Linked DNA regions of Elephas maximus indicus. The protein of the gene in region 1 interacts with the protein of each later gene in a pairwise test. Links are inferred from orthologs where the notes say so. Each region holds a gene or a part of one and is shown in the gene's direction. Other genes may lie near its edges.

Region 1 (7,958 bases):
AAGAAAATAAATTTCTCTCTGTTGAACCCATCCACTTGCGGTATTTCTGTTACAGCAGCACTAGATGACTAAGACAGTCAACATCAACTCGATGGCAATGGGTTTGGTTTTTTTCAGACTTACAGACATTTGTTTTATGCTTTTGAATTATAATCCAATACTGTATTACCTATTCTCTTGCTCTACGCATTCCAGCTCTGGCCACTGGACGCTCTCTTGACTTCTGTGTCCCTTTGACATGACCCATCCTTTTGTTTTTTGAGCACTTTCTTCCCCTCTGGCACCACAAGACGCTCCAAGCCTATCTTTTCCTGCCTTGGCCCTAGAAGTAGCCATTTCTGCGAGGAAATAACATATTTTTAAAGTAAATCCTCCAGTTGTCTTGTCAATAGCCCAAATGTATTGCGCTGTATTTGAGTATGTGATGAAAAGTTAATTTTTTCAATTATCGTTTAAAACATACCTCCATTTTCGTAGCTCTGCTTTAACAATTATTTAGTAAACCAAGAGTCTCTACACATGGAGAAGCCTGGCCCTTTCTCCACTTCCAAGATCCCTTGTTGAATTTTTCTTTTTTTTTTTAACATACGAAACAGACAATTTTTTTCTGGGATTATACTGGTAGTCATGCTAAAAAATCCTCTTTTTAAAGGGCAATAGGACTTCTGTACTGCACAAAAGCCCACCCTTTGTTTTACAAATAAACACAGGAGAACATCTTTACCTAACTGCATTCATCTGGAAGTAGTACATGAGCACTAAATGATCTCATGGCCTTGTTCAATTTAACTGTTATCTCTACTGCCACTCTGCTAAGGCTCCGGGCAGCCCACCCACCCGCTACTGAAGTGGCTGGACTCCTGTGTCCTTGCCACTGTCAGCCGGAGCTGCCCAGTGGAGCAACTGGAGGCAAAGGTAGTTCCTGCGGCCCTTCCCGCTCCAGCTCCCTCCCTCACCTCCAGGGCTACAGGTCCTGGAGTGCAGCAGACCCCGCCCAAGCTGGCCGGGCAGGTGTGGGCAGGTAGCAAGAGGGTAGGCAGGCTCCAGGACGGAAGTCAGCAAGCCCAGCAGGTGAGACGGGAAGGAAGGAGGGAGACAGGAGGTGCGTGGGCTCTGCACCATTAAGCTCCAGAGGGCACCCAGAGACTGGGGCCAAGGTTTGCAAAATCCAGCTTTAAGTGGAGAAGGGGTTCTCCAGGGCAGCACTGAGTTCTGCAGAAGGGAGTCGGCTTTGCTGGAAGGAGCCGGCCGCCTCATGAGCCGGAAGAGAGTGAGACTGCGGCTAACTCTGGGAGGGCAGGGAGCTGCGTGACTCATCGCCGGTTCCTCCGGCTCCCGCTGGCACAGCGCTGGGCAGCGCGGGGGGGGGGCCCCCGGGAGCAGGGGCGGAGTCCCAGCCCAGACCTGGCCCTACAGGAGGTCCCAGGTGGCAATTACAATACGGCACAGCATGTAGTGACAGAAGCTGGGTGTTGTGGGAACCTGGTGGAGGAAGCGACTCACCACGAGGAGTCTCGGCAGGCCTCAAGGTGGAGGTGACACCATCGAAAAGAAGAATGGAATCGGCTGGGCAGCAGTAGGGAGGGGAGAAGCGAAGGGCACTCCTGGCAGAGGGAGAGGCATGTGCAAAGGGACAGAAGCATCTGCAAGGCACCTGGCCCTGGCCCTGCTGTCTGCAAGTTAACATATTATTACTGGGATTGATATATCATCATTATTGTTAACTTGGACATGCCATTTAGTCACTTAATCTTTTTACTATCCTAAAGGTGGTTACTATTACTACAATGAATAAATGCCTGATGTCACTGAGCTCTCCTCTGTAAGAGGGGCTGTTGTGAAGACCAGAGATACAGTTATGTATAGCGCTCAGCTGGCATGGTGTGACACTTGTGGGGTGCCTAGTGTACAGGGTCTGACACACAGCCGGGGGACTTATGTTCCCTCTCTCCTTGGCCTGCCACCCCTGGGGTTGCTGTGCAGGAGTGGGGGCACAGAAGAGGGGACACTTTGGGGTCTTCAACGATGAGCAAGTAACAAAGCAGGCTAGGTCGAGTCAGGCAAGCCCAGAGGAACAGCATCAGGACCCAGCTACAAACGTGCACTCACTCCTGCCCGGGATCTTCTGTGACCTCCTAGAACCAGCAGTGTAGACCAGCAGTATAGACTAGGAGACGGGCTGCCTTGGAGGGAGCTACGTGAAGTCCACTCCACCAGCTCAGTGACTCTAGGCAAGTCACTTCACCTTTCTGAATCTCTGAGAGTCACTTTTCTCAACTCTACAATTGCATTAAAAGACACACACAAGAACTGAATATCCAAAGCACACTCTTTGTAATAACAACAACACAAAAAACCCAACTAGAAACAACCCAAATATCCAACAACAGGAGCTAGATCACTAACTAGTGGTATATTCACAAAACGGAATACTATTCAATAGTTAAATAAATGAATTCAAGGTACAGGCAACAGAGATGGATTCAAAAAAAATAATGCTGTGTGAAAAAAGGAAGTCATAGAACTATAGAATGATCCCAACTATATACACTAGAAAAAACAAAAAGCACAACTAAAATATCATCTAGAGATCCATACAAAGGTGGTAAAACTAAGAGAAAATCAAGGGAATTATTAGCACAGTTAAGACAAAATTAAGGAAAGTGTCCTTCAGGGTGGGGAGAAGAGGTTGTAACAGTAGAGGTAGAAGGGGAGCGCCCAGAGGACCTCAAAGGTAACGCTACTGGCCAATTTAAGTCATGTGATGGAAACATGAAGTCCCTGGGTGGTGCCAACAGTGAACATATTTACTGCCAACAGAAAAGTTTACAGTTCAAGTCCACCCAGAGACATCTCAGGAGAAAGGCCTGGAGACACACTTCCGAATGATCAGCTACTGAAAACCCTGTGGGGCACAGTTCTGCTCTGACACACTTGGGGTCACCCTGAGTCAGAGTTGATTCACGGTTTAGGGTTTTTTTTGAACGGATACATGGACGTTTTATTATGATTACTGTTATTCGTCAAGCTGTACGTGTGTTGTTGTTCTTAGGTGCCATCGAGTCAGTTCTGACTCATAGCGACCCCATGCACAACAGAAGGAAACACTGCCTGGTCCGGCGCCATCCTCACAACCCTTGTTATGCTTGAGCCCGATGTCGTAGCCACTGTGTCAATCCATCTCATTGAGGGTCTTCCTCTTTTTCGCTGATGCTCTACTTTACCAAGCATGATGTCCAGGGACTGATCCCTCCTGACAACATGACCGAAGTATGTAAGACGAAGTCTCGACATCCTTGCTTCTAAGGAGCATTCTAGTTGGACTTCTTCCAAGACAAATTTGTTTGTTCTTTTGGCACTCCATGGTATATTCAATATTCTTCATCAACACCACAACTCAAAGGTGTCACATACATGTATACAAATTTGGAATATAACACTAATACCTACCTTATAGGAGCCCTGGTAGCACAGTGGTTAAGCACTCAGCTGCTAACCAAGAAGTTAGTGGTTCAACTTTCCCTCCACTCCGCTCCATGGGAGAAAGATGTGGCAGTTTGCTTCTGTAAAGATTTCCAGCCTTGGAGACTCTATGGGGCGGTTCCATTCTATCCCACAGGGTCGCTATGAGTCAGGATCAACTTGATGACAGACAGTTTACCTACCTTATAGGACACATGCCTATGATAAAGGCAGAGATAATGTATGTAAAGTATGGGCACACAGTAAGCACTCAGTTTTGAGTGTTTTGGCTTACTGGGCCTCAGCTTCCCCATCTGCAAAGTGAGCCGGTAGCACCGCAGAGGCTTTGTCCTCTAGCTTGCGGGTTCTGTGTTTTCTTTGTCCTGCCTCACCCCCCACACGGAAGGTCTCTTTGGAGCAGGTGTCAGCCCCCCCCCCCCGCACCAGAAGAGTCTCCCCTTGGTCCTAGGTCACTGGTGGTCACAGACGTGGCACAGGAATGGGAGCTCTCGTTCCCAGTTTTAAGTCTTTCTAGCTGGGGCAACTTAGCCGTTTCTAGATTTGTCTTCTCTTCGGTTAAATGTGTATAATAACCTCTGCCTCCCTCACCTAAGCCCATACGTGGATACTGTGAAGTGCTGTGCATGTGAGGGGCCATGACTGATTGACCTGGGAACTTAAAAGCATCCTGGTGAAGGAGTGGGTGCTGCCTCTGGTGGGGGAGGAAGGGGGAGCCCATGAGTGTTAAGGCAGCATTCTGTGACCACTCACCTGGTGGTTGGTCTAAGTGTAGCTACCTTTGCCTGGTTTTCTCCTCAGTCATTGTGCATCTGCTGGTTGTACCTGTCTTTCTATCTCAGCACTGATTTCACAAAAAGTGTACCTGGCCCTGGGTGTGGTCCCACCTCTGTACACCTGCTTCAGTAAGGGTGTACCTGAATATACCTGCACCAGTCAGGGTGTACCTGTGGAGTGTTCCTGTCTCCATCTGGAAAGTGTCTGTCTGGAGTAACTATGGACTTACCTCTGTGTACCTGATTCACTCAACGTGTACCTGACTGTATCTTTTGTCCGTCAGGATGTACCTGTTAAGTGTTCTTAGGTCTGAATGTACGTGGCTGTACCCGTATTTGTATCAATGTATTTTTTTTTTTTATGACTACGTGCGTATACCTGGCTCTCTATGGCTTACCTCACCCTTACGGCCGGGCTCCTCTCCTAGTCTCCTCGTCTCCCGGGCCTGGAGGCACCGGGAAGGGGCAGCGTCCCGGAGCCCCGACTCCGCCAGCGCCCGACGCGCCCCCACCGGCCGGATTCCGGGCCTGGCCGGGAGCCCTTGGGCCGCGGGGGCGGGGCCAGGAGCCGGGGCGGGGCGGGGGCGGAGCAGGAAGGGGCGGTGGCCGCTCCGCCCCCTCCCTCCCCGCGGATCCCCCGAGCGGCTCTCGCCTCCTTTGCCCGGCTTCCGCGTCACTGTCCTTAACGCCACCTGCCCGCCCACAGTCCGGTATAAAGGCGCCGCCGGCCTCGCCCCCGGGACTCGGCCCCATGGAGACGCCGCGGGCCGCAGCTGGCGCACGGCGGGGTGAGAGCGCGCGGCGGGGAGGGGCGCGGGCCTTGGGGTCTGGTCGGAGGAGGGTGGGGAGGGCTCCAGCTGGGTCCGATTACAGCGAGAGGGACGTAGGGCTCGTCCCCCCGAGGCATATCCGTCCTCAGGAGCCCCTCCAACTTAGCTCAAGTTAGGAGAACCCGGGGAGCGGGGCCGAGGGACGGGCGGGGGAGCCGAGCGCGCGCGGGTCTCGGGGCCAGGACAGCCTTCGCGTCAGCGGCGGCCGGCGGCCAACCAGAGTTTCCCAGCAACTTTTCTCAACGGTGGGTCGCCTCGGAAACTTGCCCGCCCCTGGCCCGGGAGTGCGGCCCTACTGGCCTTGCGCCGCCTGGGCCTGGGCCCTGAGTGCTGTGCGGATAGGCGGAGGCGACGGCCGCAGAGGGGAAGCCCCGGCTTCCGAGCGCACGTCCAACTCTAGGTTTCCAGTGAAGGCTCCGCCCCGCAGCTGTCGGGGCGCGGCGAGGTCCTCTGAGGCCCCCCTAGCCTTTAGGTCCCCAGGGTTGGCGTGGGGGTGGGCGTAGGATAGGAGGTGGAGTCAGACCGACTGAGTTCAAACCCTTGCGCCACCAGTTAACAGCTGGAAGACGGGAGGAAGTTCTTAATGGCCCTGTGCCTCAGTTTCCTTCTCTATATGATGGGAAGAACACCCCCTCTCCCGGAGAGCTTTTGAGAGCACTGCATAAGGTAATACAGAAGGCGGCTCTAATCAGGGCCGTAGGTGGATGCTGCTTCATCGTGTTGGGTGGGGCAGGAGGGGGAGAGGAGGTGGGAGAGAGCACGGTTTCCCACCCCTGACCTTTACGGTTGTCTTGCAGGAGCTGACAGGTGCCTGCCAGGAGTCTGAACTATGAGCGCCCCCTGTGGAGAGAGGCCCGTCAAGGCAGCCAGCCCGGCCATGAGTTTTTGGGAGCCTGGGGACAGCCACAGCTGGCAGGGAACCTCCGGGCTGGCCCAGGAGCCGGCCACTGAGGAGGCATCGGCTGCGGAGCTACAGATGAAGGTGGACTTCTTCCGGAAACTGGGCTACTCATCGACTGAGATCCACAGTGTCCTGCAGAAGCTGGGAGTCCAGGCGGACACCAACACAGTGCTGGGCGAGCTGGTGAAACATGGTCCAGCTGCCGAACGGGAGCACCAGGTCTCATCAGACCCTTGCCCTCAGCTGCCCCTGGTCCCCCGGGGCGGGGGTACCCGCAAGACTGTCACTCTGGAGCCTTCACCCCCTGAAGAGGACAAGGAGAGCAGTGACCTGAGACCTGTGGTCATTGATGGGAGCAATGTAGCCATGAGGTATGTGTCACTTCTGTGGCCAAGACTCATGACTAGCAGCTGGGCATGGTGACCATGTCCTGGCTCTAGGAGTCTGACCTCTTCCCACGGACTGGTCTAGAAGAAGGGAAAGCCCTTTATTGAGGCCCTACTGTGTGCCAGCAGGCTCCCTTAATCTTCTGACATCTTGAGGTGGGTTTGAGAGGAATGTTTACAGATGAGGACATAGGCTCAAAGGCTTGCCTGTGGTTGCACTGCTGGTAAGTGGTGTGGCAAGGATTCGAACCCAGTTCTTTCTGACTCCAGCGGTCACCTTGTGCTGTGGATCTTTCCCTGAGTGCCACAACTCTTCACCGTCTCAATTCCTCTTCTGGATACGAGGCAGTGTAGTGCAGTGGATTAGACTGTGGACTCCAGTGTTAAAATGCCTGGGTTTGAATCCCAGCTTATTTGTGTAAGAGCTGTGTAAACTATAAGCCAGTCACTTAACCTCTCTGAGCCTTATTTCCTCATCTATAAAATGGGCCTAACAGTACTCCCCACTCCCCAGGTGATAGTTGTGAGGAGTGAATGCACAAAGCCTGGTGAGTAGTAAGTGCTCAGTAAACATTATTATTCAGGGCTGGGACTTCTGAGACTGTGTTGTCCCAGACCCGGGCTCCCAGCTGCTGAGGCCTTTGTGGTTGTGACCAGGAGTCACCTTGAGGCTGGATCTGGCTCTGTCACTGGGAGGTGCAGGTGGTGGCCTGAAGCTCTGACTTCAGGTGAGCTGTGACTCAAGTCCTTCTGATTCTGCTGGAACTGCCTAGGAAGGACTGGGCTGTGCCAGGCTACCCAGAGCCAGAGCCAGGACTGGGCCCCAGTACTCCCAGTGCCCCGACACAGGCTGTCACAGGGGGTGGGGTGGGGGCAGAGGACCAGGCCACTGGCCTCAGGGAACCCAGACTTCTGCCTTCACTCCAGGCCCCACCCTCTGGCCCTACTTTCTCCCAGTTTTCTCCAAGGCAGTGGGTGAGTCAGGGCTGGGTGGATCTCTCACAGGGAAGAGTTCCTGTTGGTGTGGTCAGGGAGACCCCAGGCAGGAAGGAACTCACAGGTGGGCTGCCTGAGGTGGCCATGACGTCAGCCTCTGCCCTCCACAGCGCTTGGCCCCTCCCACTCACAGCCTAGCCAGGCAAGTCAGCCTTCTGGCTGGTTCTAGCCCCGCTCCCTGCATTCATGCTGGCAGCCCTCTTGCTGCTGCCTGCCAGTCAGTCTTCCATTTCGGAAATGGGCTGAGATTGAGCAAAGCCAATTCCCATGTGCCAGGGCGGCTGGTCACAACCTGTGCTTTGCGTGTGCCTGGGTCAGGAGTTGGGATGGCACAGTGTCTCCTTCCTTGGGGGTGGGGGGTGAGTCTGGGCTGGAGTAGCTGAGCCCTTGGGGCCACCATGTGCTGTGTGTTTGTATCCTAGCAGGAGGAGGAGGGGCCTGGGAGGGAGGGGCGGGCGGTGGAGGGGGACCAGGGGAGCGGGCCTGAGAGGCTGAGCCGACGGGGCTTTCTGAGCTAGGGCAGTGGCAGGAGGGGAATTCCAGCCTCAAGCTTCCTGTCTGAGCTGCTACTGGGTTCCTGCCCTGCCGC
Region 2 (7,486 bases), on another chromosome or scaffold:
CTCTGGGAGTGGCTTCAGTTCCAGGTTAAGAGTGTCTTAGGGCAATAGTCTTGGGGGTTCCTCCAGTCTTGATCAGTCCAGTAAATCTGGTCTTTTTTATAAATTTGAATTTTGTTCTACATTTTTATCCCATTCTAATTGGGACCTTCTATTGTGTTCCTGCAGAGTAGCCGGTAGTGGTAACCAGGCACTATCTAGTTCTGCTCCCAGGCTAGAGAAGGCTGTGGTCCGTGTGGGCCATTAGTCCTGTGGACTAATTGCTTCCTTGAGTCTTTAGTTTCCTTCCCCCTCCTTTGCTCCAGATGGGAGGAGACCAGTAGTTATATCATAGATGGCTGCTTGCAAGCTTTTAGGACTCAGACACTACTCCCCAAACTAGAATGTAGAACAGTATCTTTATATTAGGCCAGTTGACCTAGATGTCCCCCGAGACGATGGTCCTGAGCCTTCAAACCGAGAAACTAAGACCCACAAGGTGTTTGGATGTCTAGGAAATTTCCATAACTATGCCCCCTATTGGAAACCCTGGTGGTGTAGTGGTTAGGTGCTACGGCTACGAACCAAAGGGTTGGCAGTTCAAATCCGCCAGGTGCTCCTTAGAAACTCTATGGGGGTGGTTCTACTCTGTCCTATAGGGTCATTATGAGTCGGAATTGACTCGACGGCACTGAGTTTGGACTGGGTATGCCCCCTATGTGCTCTATTATATATATGAATATATATGTAGCACATACAAATATGTATATGCAAATGCCCACAACTATACCTGTATGCGCACACACATGTACTCCCATACACTCTCCCAAACCTATATAGTATATATATCTACCTACGTAACCACTTACAAATTTTTGGTTGTTATTACTGTTGTTGCAGAACTGTATATGTTAATAGGATTTATCGTAGTTGTCATTTATCCTTTCATACCTCTCAGTGTCTTCATTTACCTTGGTCATGATGTGTTGACTTCCCCCATATTGTGTATTGCCTTTCCCTTCACCAGAATTAACAAGTGTCTACTATCTAGTAAGTGGTTTTCCCTCCCCTCTCTGGTAATGATCAACGTTGCTTTCTGTGTGTAAACCTATTCTTGACTTTTTATAAAAGTGGCATCATCTAGTATTTGTCCTTTTGTGATTGACTTATTTCACTCAGCATGATGTCCTCCAGATTCATCCATGTTATAAAATGTTTCACAGACTCATCATTATTCTGTTGTTGTGTACTATTCCATTGTATGTGTGCACAACATTTTCTTGATCCATTCATCCATTGGTGGATACTTTGCTTGCTTCCATTTTTTGCTGTTGTGAATGATGCTGCAATGAGCATGGGTGTGTGTATGTCTATCTGTGTCACTGCTCTTATTTCTCCAGGATGTATACCTAGGAGTGGGATTGCTGGATCATATGGTATTTCTATTTATAGCTTTTTGAGGAAAGTGCCATACTGCTTTTCATAGTGGTTGTACCATTTTATATTCCTCCAGCAGTGTGTAAGAGTTCCAGTGTCCCCCACAACCTTGCCAGCATTTGTTGTTTTCTGTTTTTTTTTTTTTTTGATCAGTGCTGTTTTTACAGGGGTGAGATGGTATCTCACTGTAGTTTTGATTTGCATCTCTCATTTTTTTTAATGGCTAATGAGAAGCTGGACTATATGAAGAAGAACTTGGCATCAGGATTGGAGGAAGACTCACTAACAACCTATGATATATAGATGATATAACCTTGCTTGCTAAAAGCAAAGGGGACTTGAAGCACTTACTAATGAAGATCAAAGACTACAGCCTTCAGTATAAATTACATCTCAACATAAAGAAAACAAAAATCCTCACAACTGGACCAATAAGCAACATCATGATAAATGGAGAAAGTGTTTTAGTTGTCAAGGATTTCATTTTACTTGGATCCACAATCAAGCAGCAGTCAAGAAATCAAATGACATATTGCATTGGGCAAATCTACTGCAAAAGACCTCTCTGAAGTGTTAAAAAACTAAGATGTTACTTTTAGGACTACGGTGTACCTGACCCAAGCCATGGTATTTTCAGTTGCTTTCTATGCATGCAAAAACTGTACAATGGATAAGGAAGAACAAAGAATTGACACCTTTGAATTATGATGTTGGAAAAGAATATTTAATATACCATGGATTGCCAGAAGAACAAACAAATCTATCTGTCTTGGAAGGAGTACAGCCAGAATGCTCCTTAGACGGGAAGATGACAAGACTTCATCTCATGTACTTTGGACATGTTATCAGCAAGGACTAGTCCCTGGAAAAGGACATGCTTGGTAAATTAGAGGGTCAGCCAAAGAGAGGAAGACCCTCAACAAAATGGATTGACACAGTGGCTGCAACAATGGGCTCAAACATAGCAACGATTATGAGGATGGCGAAGGGCTGTTGTACATAGGATCACTATGAGTCGAAATCAACTTGATGGCACTTAACAACAACAACACAATGGCTCATAATTAGGAGCATCTCTCCATATGTTTGTTAGCCTCCTGAATGTCTTCTGGGGTGATGTGTCTGTTCATGTCCTTTGCCCACTTATTGATTCGATTGTTTGTCTTTTTGTTGTTGAGGTGTTGGCATTTCCTATACATTTTAGAGATTAGACCCTTGTCAGATGTGTTGTTGTCAAAATCTTTTTTCCCCAGTCTGTAGGTTCTCTTCTTACCCTTTTGGTAAAGTCTTTTGATGAACATAAGCACTAAATTTTTAGGAGGCCCCAATTATCAAGCTGATCTTCTGTTGTTTGTGCTTCCATTGGATTTTCATAGATGACGGGATAATTTTCTTAGTACGACATGCAAAGCCCCTTCACAATATGACAGCTCCAACCAAAGAAACTTTTCATCACTTCCAAAACTCAAACTACTTTCCACCCCTGAACCTTGGTACCCATAGGCACCTTCTGCCCATCCCTCCCTTGCCTGCCACAGTGGAGATAATCCTTTTTCATCCCTTGGGCCAGTGCACGTTGCTTCCTCTGTGAAGCCCTCTCCACCACCGACGCATGTGCACAGGCTTCCTGCTCAGTGCTGCCATTGCACATGATGGCCCCACCCTTGGTTACCCTAATCACATTTTATTGTGGTTATTTGTTTACATATCTGTCTCCTCTTGTGAGCTCATTAGGACCGGGGTTAGCGCTGGGTCTGCTGTTTCTCTGTGTCCTCAGCCTGGTACCTTAAAAAAAAATCACTGCTGTTGAGTACATTCCGACTCATAGTGACCCTACAGGACAGGGTAGAACTGCCCCCGTGGGGTTTCCAAGGAACCACTGGTGGATTCGAACTGCCAACCTTTTGGTTAGCAACCTTAGCTCTTAACCACTATGCCACGCAGTACTGTAGGTACCAGTAAACATTTGTTGAATGAATGAACAAATGCCTGGGAAATGCCACGCAGTACTGTAGGTACCAGTAAACATTTGTTGAATGAATGAACAAATGCCTGGGAAAAAATAAGTAACCTAGTAGGATGTAAATAATAATTTTGTTTGCTTGCTTAAGTAACTGTGTAATATATTGTGTAGAGCAGAGACTTGGGATCCCAGAGTTTTAGGTCCTCTAAGTCCTAGAAACGTTATGCACTGGTCCTAATGCCCTTCATCACGCCTAACCTCCTGGTCAAATTTCTACTCATCATTCAGGATCGCTCAGATGTCACGTCCTCTGTGAAATGTTTTCCTCCCCTCTGCTCTCCCGCACTGTGAGTCGGAATCGACTGGAAGGCAATGGTTTTTTGGGTTTGGGGCTCTCCCACAGCTCTTTACACACACACACACACACATACACACACACACACACACGTCGCTATGGTACCTCTATTATTATACCGCATTATTTGCTCTCCTGGATTTACCAATCAGAATTCAGTAATGTTTCTATAGTTCCACCCCTGAACCAGGGGGTGAATATTGTTGGGGTGGCCTTGTACAGCCTTGTTTTTGTGTGCCGTGGAGTTGATTACGACTCACAGCGACCCTATATGACAGAGTAGATCCGCCCCATAGGATTTTCTACCGCATCCTTCTCTGGTCGAGGGGCTGGTGGGTTCCACCTTCAATCTTTCGTTTAGCAGCCCAGTGGGCTCCTTTGTACAGCCTTAGGCCAGTGAATTCAGCGCTCACACCACCCCGTGTCTCAGTTTCCACATACGTGAAATGGGCACAGAGGAAACACCTTCCTGGGGCTGTGATTTAGTGAAGGGAGCGCCACTGAGGTTGCAGGCAGTCCGCTCACGCAGTCTGAGCAGCTGAGAGGCAGGAACCCGAGGAGCGGTCAGAGCAAGTAAGGAGTCGGCGGTGGGGGGCTAAGCAGGCCTGACAGGCAAGGCGAAGGGGCGGGGCGAAGCCCAGGGGAGGAGCAGGGCTGGAGCTCCGAGCGCCGGGCGCAGGGCGGGCGGCACCGTCTGAGAGGACGCGAGCGAGCGCCGGCCATGGGTCCCGTGGCTCGGCTGGCCGCGCTGCTGGCGCTGCTGGCGCTGGGGCCCAGGGGTCCGGCGGGGCCCGCGGCGCAGGGGGACACGTTCTCCGCGCTGACTAGCGTGGCGCGCGCCCTGGCGCCCGAGCGCCGGCTGCTGGCCCTGCTGCGGCGCTACCTGCGCGGGGAGGAGGCGCGGCTGCGGGACCTGACCAGGTGAGGACAGTGGGGCGGGGCGACAGAGAAGCCTGAGTGGGAGAGACTCACAGTGCGAGACCGAGACACTGCGGTGCAGAGTGGGAATGACTGAGGCAGCGTGTGACTCCAGACTCACTGTCGTTCTGCGTGGGACGTCAGACCCAGTGTCACACGGTGAGACTGAGAAACTGTGGTGTGGGATAGGGAGTGACTCTGAGGTCTGGTGTGATTCCAGACCCTGTGTAGGACCCCGGTCCCTGTGTGGTGGTGGGGAAACTGAGACCGAGTATGAGCCCACAGGCACTGTGTCACATTGTGTGGGGCCCCACACTCCCATCACACAGGTAGTGGCACCCCAGATCCAGCATCACACGGTGAAGTTGACACACTGTGGAGAAGTGTGATGGAATACTCTGAGGCAGAGTATGACCTCACAAGGCACTGTGTCATGCTACAGGGGACCCCAGCTCTGTCACAGTGACACAGACACAGTGGAACCATGCAATGACACAGACACTGTGACCATAAAATGTAGAGAATATGGGGATGCTGTGGCCCCACGTGTGTTGACCTTGTGAGTTGGCACTGTGAATCAAGAACTGTGAAACACTGTGTGACCCGGTGAACTGACATTTTATATGATGTATCAGAGGAGATTCTGTGACTTTGTATGAAACATATATGTCATTGGGACTGGATGGGCATGGCACTATGGGTATCACGCTATGCATGTGGAATATGCTGAGTAGAAGTAACTATATATAGTATGAAAAATTAATTCATTCAACACATGTGCTTACTATGAGCCAAGCTTTGTTCTAAGCCCTGGGATAGAGCTTGGAGCCTCTGCATCATGACTGCTGACCAGTGATGTCCATCTCCTCTTTTGCTTTCAGTTCCCCCTTCCCTTGATCTTTACCAAAAATCAAAGCAGTTGCTGTCAAGTCGGTTCTGACTTACGGTGACCCATGTGTGTCAGAGTAGAACTGGTTTTCTGGGGCTGATGTTTCAAAAGTCAATTGTCAGGCTTTTCTTCTGTGGTGCCTCTGGGCAAACTTGAACTGCCAACCTTTTGATTAGCAGCCAAGTGCTTAACCGTTGTGCCATACAGTGTCTCTTACACATGCTTTAAAAAAAAAAAACTTATAGCTGTCAGGTCAATTTTGACTCACAGTGACCCAGAGTAGAGCTGCCCAATGGGGTTTCCAAGGAGCACCTGATGGATATGAACTGCTGACCTTTAGGTTAGCAGCAGTAGCTCTTAACCACTATGCCACCACATATGCTAAGAGCTCCCTACAGACTGGATAAATAATAACCGAGATGTTATATGTATGTGAAAGCCTTTGACACCAAGAAAAAATTGTGAATAACTATACTTGCGACTGGAAGATACTGTGTATATAACACACAAACAGATGCTTAGCCAATGTTGTTTTGCTATAGAATCAACAAACTCTAGGGCTACACACTGTGGGATAAAATAATACAAGACTTGGACACTGGGGTAGTGTAAGCATTTATTGACTCTGTGTCCAGCTATGAAAGTGAGTGATTGTATATGATTGCATGTATATGAGTATGTATTTTGCTTTCTCTTCTTGGGACGTGAGAATTCCTACAACACTGTGAGAAACAGAATTGTTTTTATATGGCCTTTCTCACCATAGTCTTGTGATTCCTACAAAATGATTGGGTGGGACTATGCAAATAAGGTACTTGTGGTCCACTGCTAAAAATGCAGATAAGGTGCATGGAACCCTTGTGTGGGGGTGGGACCATGCAAATAAGGCATATGGAACCGAAATGAGGGGATTGGTCAGTTTTGCCATCTCACTAGGCTTAAAAGAGAGCCAATCCCAGAGCAGAGAGGGGACCTCACTATCATCAAGAAAGAAGAGCTGGGAGTGGAGTGTGTCCTTTGGATCCAGGGTCCTTGCGCTGAGAACCTCCTAGACCCAGGAGACAGAGAGAGAGCTGTAACATCTGAGATGGCACAGAACAGCTAGAAGCAGCAGAGAAATAGTAGCCACAGAGAAACAGCAACAGCAGAACCAGGAGGCGAGCACGAGACCGCACTATAGACTTCCCGGCCCAAGGAGCAGGGTGGCTTCAGTGGGGATGCCAGCTCATGGAGTGAGAGAGCTGAGAGTCTTCAGGCAGGAGGCTTCATGGTGCAGTGCGATGCCTCTGGGCACTTGTCAGCGGAGCTAGGCTTGCCAATCTATGGAGCGAGAAAGCTGAGTGCCTTTGGGCAGGAGGCTTCTTGGTGGAGTGGGGTGCCTCTAGGCACTTATTGGCAGAGCTAAAGAGCTTTGTAACACCTGCCTGAGCAGGGCAGAGGCCAGGCCAAGAGGCAGAGGGTCAGAGAGAGACCTACCTGCAAGCACAACTGAAAAGAAGCTGTCCTGATTGAAGAACTATATCCTGAATTGTTCCTGATCCTGGACTGTAATCTGTTACTTCCCTAATAAACCCCATAATTGTGAGTATTGTCTGTGAGTTCTATGTGGCCATTGCAACAAATTATCCAACTCAGCAGAGAAGTAGAGAGCTGGCATCAGAATTGGTAAAAAGGTCAGAGAGTGGAGGTGTGTTTGACCTCTACTTCGAAGGGATCAACCTTGGGCTGTTGATGATGATGGTTCTCCCTCCACATGAAGTTAGAGGTCTGATGCCGCTATGCCATTTTCACAGTTGGTGCTGTTTTTACCCAATGGTTGTGACCACATCGCAATATGAATATATAATATTGTACTCATATCATGTGAGTGTCCTGCTGAACTGAGACAACCAAGGGCTGTGTCACAATGCACTGCTTATGAAGCTGTGAGTGAGTGTGATTGTATATG
Region 3 (6,204 bases), on another chromosome or scaffold:
ATGATAAATGGAGAAAAGATTGAAGTTGTCAAGGATTTCATTTTACTTGGATCCACAATCAACAGCCATGGAAGCAGCAGTCAAGAATTCAAAAGACCCATTGCATTAGGCAAATCTGCTGCAAAGGACCTCTTCAAAGTGTTGAAGAGCAAAGATGTCACCCTGACGACTAAGGTGCGCTTGACCCAAGCCATGGTATTTTCAATCACATCATATCCATGTGAAAGCTGGACAATGAATAAGGAAAACCGAAGAAGAGTTGACGCCTTTGAATTGTGGCGTTGGTGAAGAATATTGAATATACCATGGACTGCCAAAAGAACAAACAAATCTGTCTTTGAAGAAGTGCGGCCCGAATGCTCCTTGGAGGCAAGGATGGCAAGACTACATCTTACATGCTTTGGACATGTTGTCAGGAGGGATCAGTCCCTGGAGAAGGACCTCATGCTTGGCAGAGTACAGGGTCAGCAGAAAAGAGGAAGACCCTCAACGAGGTGGATTGACACAGTGGCTGCAACAATGAGCTCAAGCGTAACGATTGTAAGGATGGCGCAGAACGGGGCAGTGTTTCGTTCTGTTGTGCATAGGGTTGCTATGAGTCGGAACCGACTTGACGGCACCTAACAACAACATTTTATTCTCTTAGATGGTATTGTAAATGGAATTGTTTCCTTAATTTCCCTATTAGATCTCTCATTGTTGGTGTATATAATTCAACAGATTTTTGTTTGTTGACCTTGTAAGTAAGTAATTTCTTTTATAAGGATCAGCACAAAGCTGGTTCTTATGAGGCGGAGGTTAAAGATGTCCCAAATGTCCAACTTTTCCAGACTGCTCCACCACTCCATTGTCCCTAACATCAACTACTCCCTGCTCCTCAGTACTCTCATTCCTGTCTTTGGGTTCAGTAATTCACTGCAATGTCTCACAGAACTCACAGACTGTACTTATAGTTAAGTGGTTTATTAGGGAAGTAACAGGGCACAACTTGGGATCAGGATAAACTTGGAAGCAACAGGAACAACTCAGGACACAGTTCCTGGATCAGAACAGCATCTTCTCGTCCTCTGTCGCCAGCTCTCCTGAGGCCTTGCTGCCACCAAGCTATGCTGGGGGCCTTCTTGGGCAAGTGTTATAACTCTTAGCTCTGTTATAACTCCTAGCCCCACTGCGGCTGTGTTGCACTGTTCTCTGGTTCCTGCTGTCTCATGCCACTCTCTCTTGCTGTCTTCCATGTTACAGCTCCACTCTCTCTCTCTCTCTCTGTCTCCCCTTAAGCCTAGTAAAACCCAGAAAAAAAAAAAATTTTTTTTTTTTTGCAAAGCTGTCCAATCCCCTCATTAGGGTTCCATACACTTTATTTGCATGGTCCCACCCCTACAAGGGTGCCATGCAGCCTATTTTCATTATTAGCAAGCAATCCAATCCCCTTGGTGGGCCACAAGCACCTCATTTGCATAGTTCCAGCCAGTCATTTGGTAGGACTTATAAAGACTATGGCTAGAAAGGCCATATTAAGTAATTCATTGCACTGCATCTTGTATCTTGCAACTTTGCTAAATTCTTTTATTAGCTCTAGAAATTTTCTCATGGACTCTTTGAGTTTTGGCTTCTTTAAAAAATAGGATTTTTTGTGTCATTGAGTGGTAAGAGTTTGTTATAAATTCTGTATACATCTCCTTTGTCAGACTGTATTGTAAATATTTTTCCCAGTGGTAGCAAATATTTTCTGCCTTAGATAAATGAAAACATGTTCACACGAAAACCTATACATAAATGTTTATAGCAGCTCTATTCATAGTTGCCATAAACTGCAAACAATCCAATGTCCTTCAATGGGTGAATGAATAAACAAACTGTGGTACACCCATGCAATGGAATGCTACTCAGCAACGAAAATGGCTGTCTTACTGATACTCATAACAACTTAGATGAACCTCAAAGGCATCATGCTGAGCGAAAGAAGTCAGTCTCAAAAGGTTGCATACTGTGTGATTCCATTTATATGACATTCTCAAAAATACTAAACTATAGTGACTTTTTTGATGGATCAGTGGTTGTTAGGGCTTTGAGCCAGTTGGGAAGGGTTCAGGAATTGTTCAGTAACTGCCTACATAAATGAAGGCAGTGTAAGCACTGCATAGCAACCAAATCTGTTGCCTGGCAGATTTTGACCTGAATGGGAAACAGGGCAGTGCTCCACTCAAAGATGGCAGCTGACTGCCTACTTTGAATATCTGTTCCTCTCCACAGTCCTGCCAATAATCCAATCTTCTGTATGGATCCCTAAAGTTTCAGGAGCCTGATGCAGTAGACCGGATTGTTGGCAGGACTCTGGAGAGTGATACACATTCAAAGCAGTGTTGATTGCCATCTTTGAGCAAACCACAGCTGTTTGTTTCTGGTTGTTGTTGTTGTGTGCCGTAGAGTCAATTCCGACACACAGCAACCCTCTAGGACAGAGTAGAACTGCCACATAGGGTATCCAAGGAGCAGCTGGTGGATTTGAACTGCCAACCTTTTGGTTAGCGGCCTGGGCTCTTAGTTTCTACTCAGGTCAAAATCCGCTGGCTAACAGATTTGGTTGCTATGCAACTCCTATGCTGCTCTCCTTTGTGTCTGTTCCAAACTGGCTAGAAACCCTGATTTAGGGGTGGGTGTGGGTGTGACATGGAAACCCTGGTGGCCTACTGGTTAAGTGCTACGGCTGCTAACCAAAGGGTCGGCAGTTCAAATCTGCCAGGAGCTCCTTGGAAACTCTATGGGGCAGTTCTACTCTGTCCTAAAGGGTCGCTATGAGTCGGAATTGACTCAACGGCACTGGGTTTGGTTGGTGAGTGTGACTACAAAGGGGTCTAGAGTTTGAGGTGATGAAAATGTCCTGTATCCTTATTATGGAGGTAGTTAAATTAATCTATATTTTTTTATGTTAAAATTCATAAACTGTATACTGAAAAGAAAGGAGCCCTGGTGGCGCAGTGGTTAAGCACTTAGCTGCTAACTGAAAGGTCAGTGGTTCAAACCCATCAGCTGTTCCTTGGGAGAAAGATGTGGCAATCTGCTTCTGTAAAGGTTACAGCCTTGGAAACCCTGTGGGGCAGTTTTCCTCTGTCCATAGAGTTGCTATGAGTTGGAATCGACTTGACAGCACACAACATACCAAAAAGAAGTTAATTTTGCTATATGTTAACTAAGCTGTTATTGTTAGCTGCTGTTGAGTTGACTCCTGACTCACAGCAACCCCATGCACAATGTAACAAAACACTAGCTGGTCCTGAGACATCCCTATGATCTATTGCAGATGGGACTATTGTGATCTATAGGGTTTTCATTAGCTGATTTTCAGAAGTAGATTGCCAGGCCTTTCTTCCTAGTCCATCTTAGTCTGGAAGCTCCGCTGTAATCTGTTCAGCATCATAGCAACATTCTCAGATGGGCGGTGGCTGTGAATGAGGTACATTGGCTGGGAATGGGATCCAGGCAACGCTCATGGAAAGTAAAAATCCTACCACTGAACCACTGATCCCCCACATTAAGAAAACACCATACATTTAAAAAAAGCAAATCGACAAACCTCTATGAGTGTGTAGGTGCTTATGAATATTGGCTTTTGAGTGGAGAAAGGTATGACCGGAAACGCACAAAACTTTAATGATCACTACCTCAGTGGGGAGCAAAAATAATCAACTTTTTCAGTGTACACTTTTGTATTTTTTCACTTATTTCATGTAGTAACTTTGAAATTTGAAAAACAAAATCTACTAAAATGAAAACCATTAGGACAAACATTTAAAAAGAAGAAAAAGAGTATTTCTGCTTTAGTGAGTACTTGGTGATATGTAGAGAACAAGAAATACATCTCCATTCTTGTGGAGTGCAGCTGGGCAGGGTCATCTGCAAAAAGTGGCTAATAACAGTACAGTCTGTTATCTAGTGCTGCAGATAACGGAAATACCACAAGTAGGTGGCTTTAACACTTTTAATTTTGTATAGTTTAGGAGGCTAGAAGTGCAAATTCAGGATGCCAGTTCTAGGGGAAGGCTTTCTTTCTCTACGGGCTCTGGGGGGAGGTCCTTGTTTCTTCTCAGCTTTTGTTTCCTGGTTCCTTGGTGATCTTCATGTGGTGTGGAATCTATCTTCTCTCATTTCTGCTTAATCCGCTCTTTTATATCTCAAAAGAAATTAATTCCAGACATACTCTACACTAAGACTGCCTCCTCAACAGAACGAAGACAACCCATTCCTAAATGGGATTATAACCACAGGTTAGGGTGAGGATTCACAACACATATTTTGGGGGGACACAGTTCAATCCATAACAAATACCTAATAGGGTTTTTATAAAGATAAATACCTCAATACGTGTTTGAAATAGTGCCTAGCATAAAGGATCTGCTGAATAAATGTAAACAGCTATTAACAAACCATCCATGAAATGAAAGAATAATTGCCATCACAGTGTTGTGATTTCAAAGGGCCTGACATGTAACAGGGCCTCAATAAATGTTAGTTTCTTTAGTGTTAAAAGTTTGGGTACTGGGATGCGGGCCTGCCTTGGTTCTTGTATTTTCTGGGTCTGCTCACTTATCTCTTTTTCTTGGCCTCATTATCTTTCCAACTTCAGGGAAGCCTCTCCCTGCTTCCCCTCCCCAGGGTGACCTATCATTCTCTCTCAGGACCTAGACTTAGGGTGTTTCCCTCCTACGCTGACACTTGATTCCTTGCCTACATCTAGGTTGGCACAGAGAGACATACATACCCTGAAGAGTGAGGGTGAAACACACAGCACCGTTCACCAGATGGTGAGCCCTACCTGGGAGAAATAGCATCTCAGAACAGAGCAGGCTTTGAAAAGTGTTAGAGGGGAGGTGGCCCTGAAGGTCACCAAGGATTGGTGGTGTTGGAGGGGGGCGGTGGATATCCAAGGACAAGGGAAAATGTTACTTAAATTCTACCTCTTTCTCTTACCAGGTAGATGGCCCTTCTTCAGGCCAATAAGGATCTCATTTCCACAGGAATGAAGGAATTTAGTATTCTGCTGAATCAGCAGGTAAGTTTGGCACTCCATTTCAAAGGACGGGCCTGGAAAGTAGGAGGTGAGGGATAATAATATGGAGTTGGAAGAGTAATGGTGGAATTGATGGAAACAACTCAAGACAGGGAATACAAAGCGGAGGAAAGAGGATGTGACTTTCTGGGGACTATTTCCTATCCTATATTCCTCGATCACATTGTTGACCACATTCCTCCCTCCCACCCCCAGGACATGCGTGATAATCCTATCCCTGAAGAAGCCATGGTAATTGTGGTGAATGACTGGATGAGCTTCTACATCAACTATTACAGGCAGAAGATGACTGGGGAGCAGCAAGAGCAGGATAGGGCTCTGCAGGAACTTCAACAAGGGCTGAACACTCTGGCCAACCCTTTCCTGACCAAATATAGAGACTTCCTGAAGACCCTGTGAGCATCCAAATGGCCCACTGTTTTCCTCCTAGCCCAGCGATCTAGGCCTTCACCTCTAAGAAACCCCCAAATCCTGGCTTTATGTTCTCCATGTCCTCAGGCTGTGCTCCTTCATGGTGCTACTCTACCATCACACCTCAATAAAGACAAATGTGTTCTTCTTTGAGTGTCTGTCCCTGACTTGTGGAGGCAGCTGGGCCTTTATTTTTAGCCCTGCATCCTAGATCTGATCTTGGAGACTTAATTCCTTAGAGCAAAGGTCAGCAGCCTTAAGTAACCACGGGCTAGTACTTAAACAGTCTGGTAGACCGGGTCTACAGAGAAAGTGCTGGGGGGAGTTGGGGGAGGCGAGGCAATGGCTGGAAGCGTTGGTTAAGAAAAGGAGGGTGGTGTTTTGGAGGTTTACAGGCATTGTGGTCCTGTGATGTGCTTGTCCAGCAGAAAGCTGGACGTTTCCCAGTCTTGCGGGTGGAATCATGAGTTCACCTTCCTCGATTTTCCAGTCCCTGTCCTGGTGAAGTAGTGGTTAACAGCTGCAGCTGCTAACCAAAAGGCTGTCAGTTCGAATCCACTAGGTGCTCCTTGAAAACCCTATAGGCAGTTCTACTCTGTCCTTTAAGGTCACTATGAGTTGGAATCGACTCCACGGCAATGGGTTTTTTGTCCTTAGCTCCAGCTTGAGCAAACTTCTAGAATCTTCTGACTCTAAAAACTACTGCAGAATACCTCCCAGGTACC

What was found.
Region 2: the proteins of ZC3H12A (region 1) and P4HA3 interact in binary tests that used the Homo sapiens proteins (3 or more experiments, as listed by UniProt). The two-hybrid records come from large-scale screens. The link is inferred for Elephas maximus indicus from reciprocal best matches to the Homo sapiens genes ZC3H12A and P4HA3.
Region 3: the proteins of ZC3H12A (region 1) and AHSP interact in binary tests that used the Homo sapiens proteins (3 or more experiments, as listed by UniProt). The two-hybrid records come from large-scale screens. The link is inferred for Elephas maximus indicus from reciprocal best matches to the Homo sapiens genes ZC3H12A and AHSP.

Annotation. Positions count from the first base shown.
Region 1 is NC_064821.1:79,048,673-79,056,630, forward strand, and holds the start of ZC3H12A (endoribonuclease ZC3H12A), read left to right. Parts: upstream 1-4,906; 5' UTR 4,907-5,044; intron 5,045-5,119; exon of another isoform or gene 5,120-5,638; 5' UTR 5,639-5,752; intron 5,753-5,883; 5' UTR 5,884-5,915; coding exon 5,916-6,358; intron 6,359-7,958. UniProt on the Homo sapiens protein: Endoribonuclease involved in various biological functions such as cellular inflammatory response and immune homeostasis, glial differentiation of neuroprogenitor cells, cell death of cardiomyocytes, adipogenesis and angiogenesis.
Region 2 is NC_064825.1:48,206,719-48,214,204, forward strand, and holds the start of P4HA3 (prolyl 4-hydroxylase subunit alpha-3), read left to right. Parts: upstream 1-4,452; coding exon 4,453-4,652; intron 4,653-7,486. UniProt on the Homo sapiens protein: Catalyzes the post-translational formation of 4-hydroxyproline in -Xaa-Pro-Gly- sequences in collagens and other proteins.
Region 3 is NC_064830.1:90,860,417-90,866,620, forward strand, and holds AHSP (alpha-hemoglobin-stabilizing protein), read left to right. Parts: upstream 1-4,724; 5' UTR 4,725-4,802; intron 4,803-4,971; 5' UTR 4,972-4,975; coding exon 4,976-5,050; intron 5,051-5,263; coding exon 5,264-5,467; 3' UTR 5,468-5,632; downstream 5,633-6,204. UniProt on the Homo sapiens protein: Acts as a chaperone to prevent the harmful aggregation of alpha-hemoglobin during normal erythroid cell development. Specifically protects free alpha-hemoglobin from precipitation.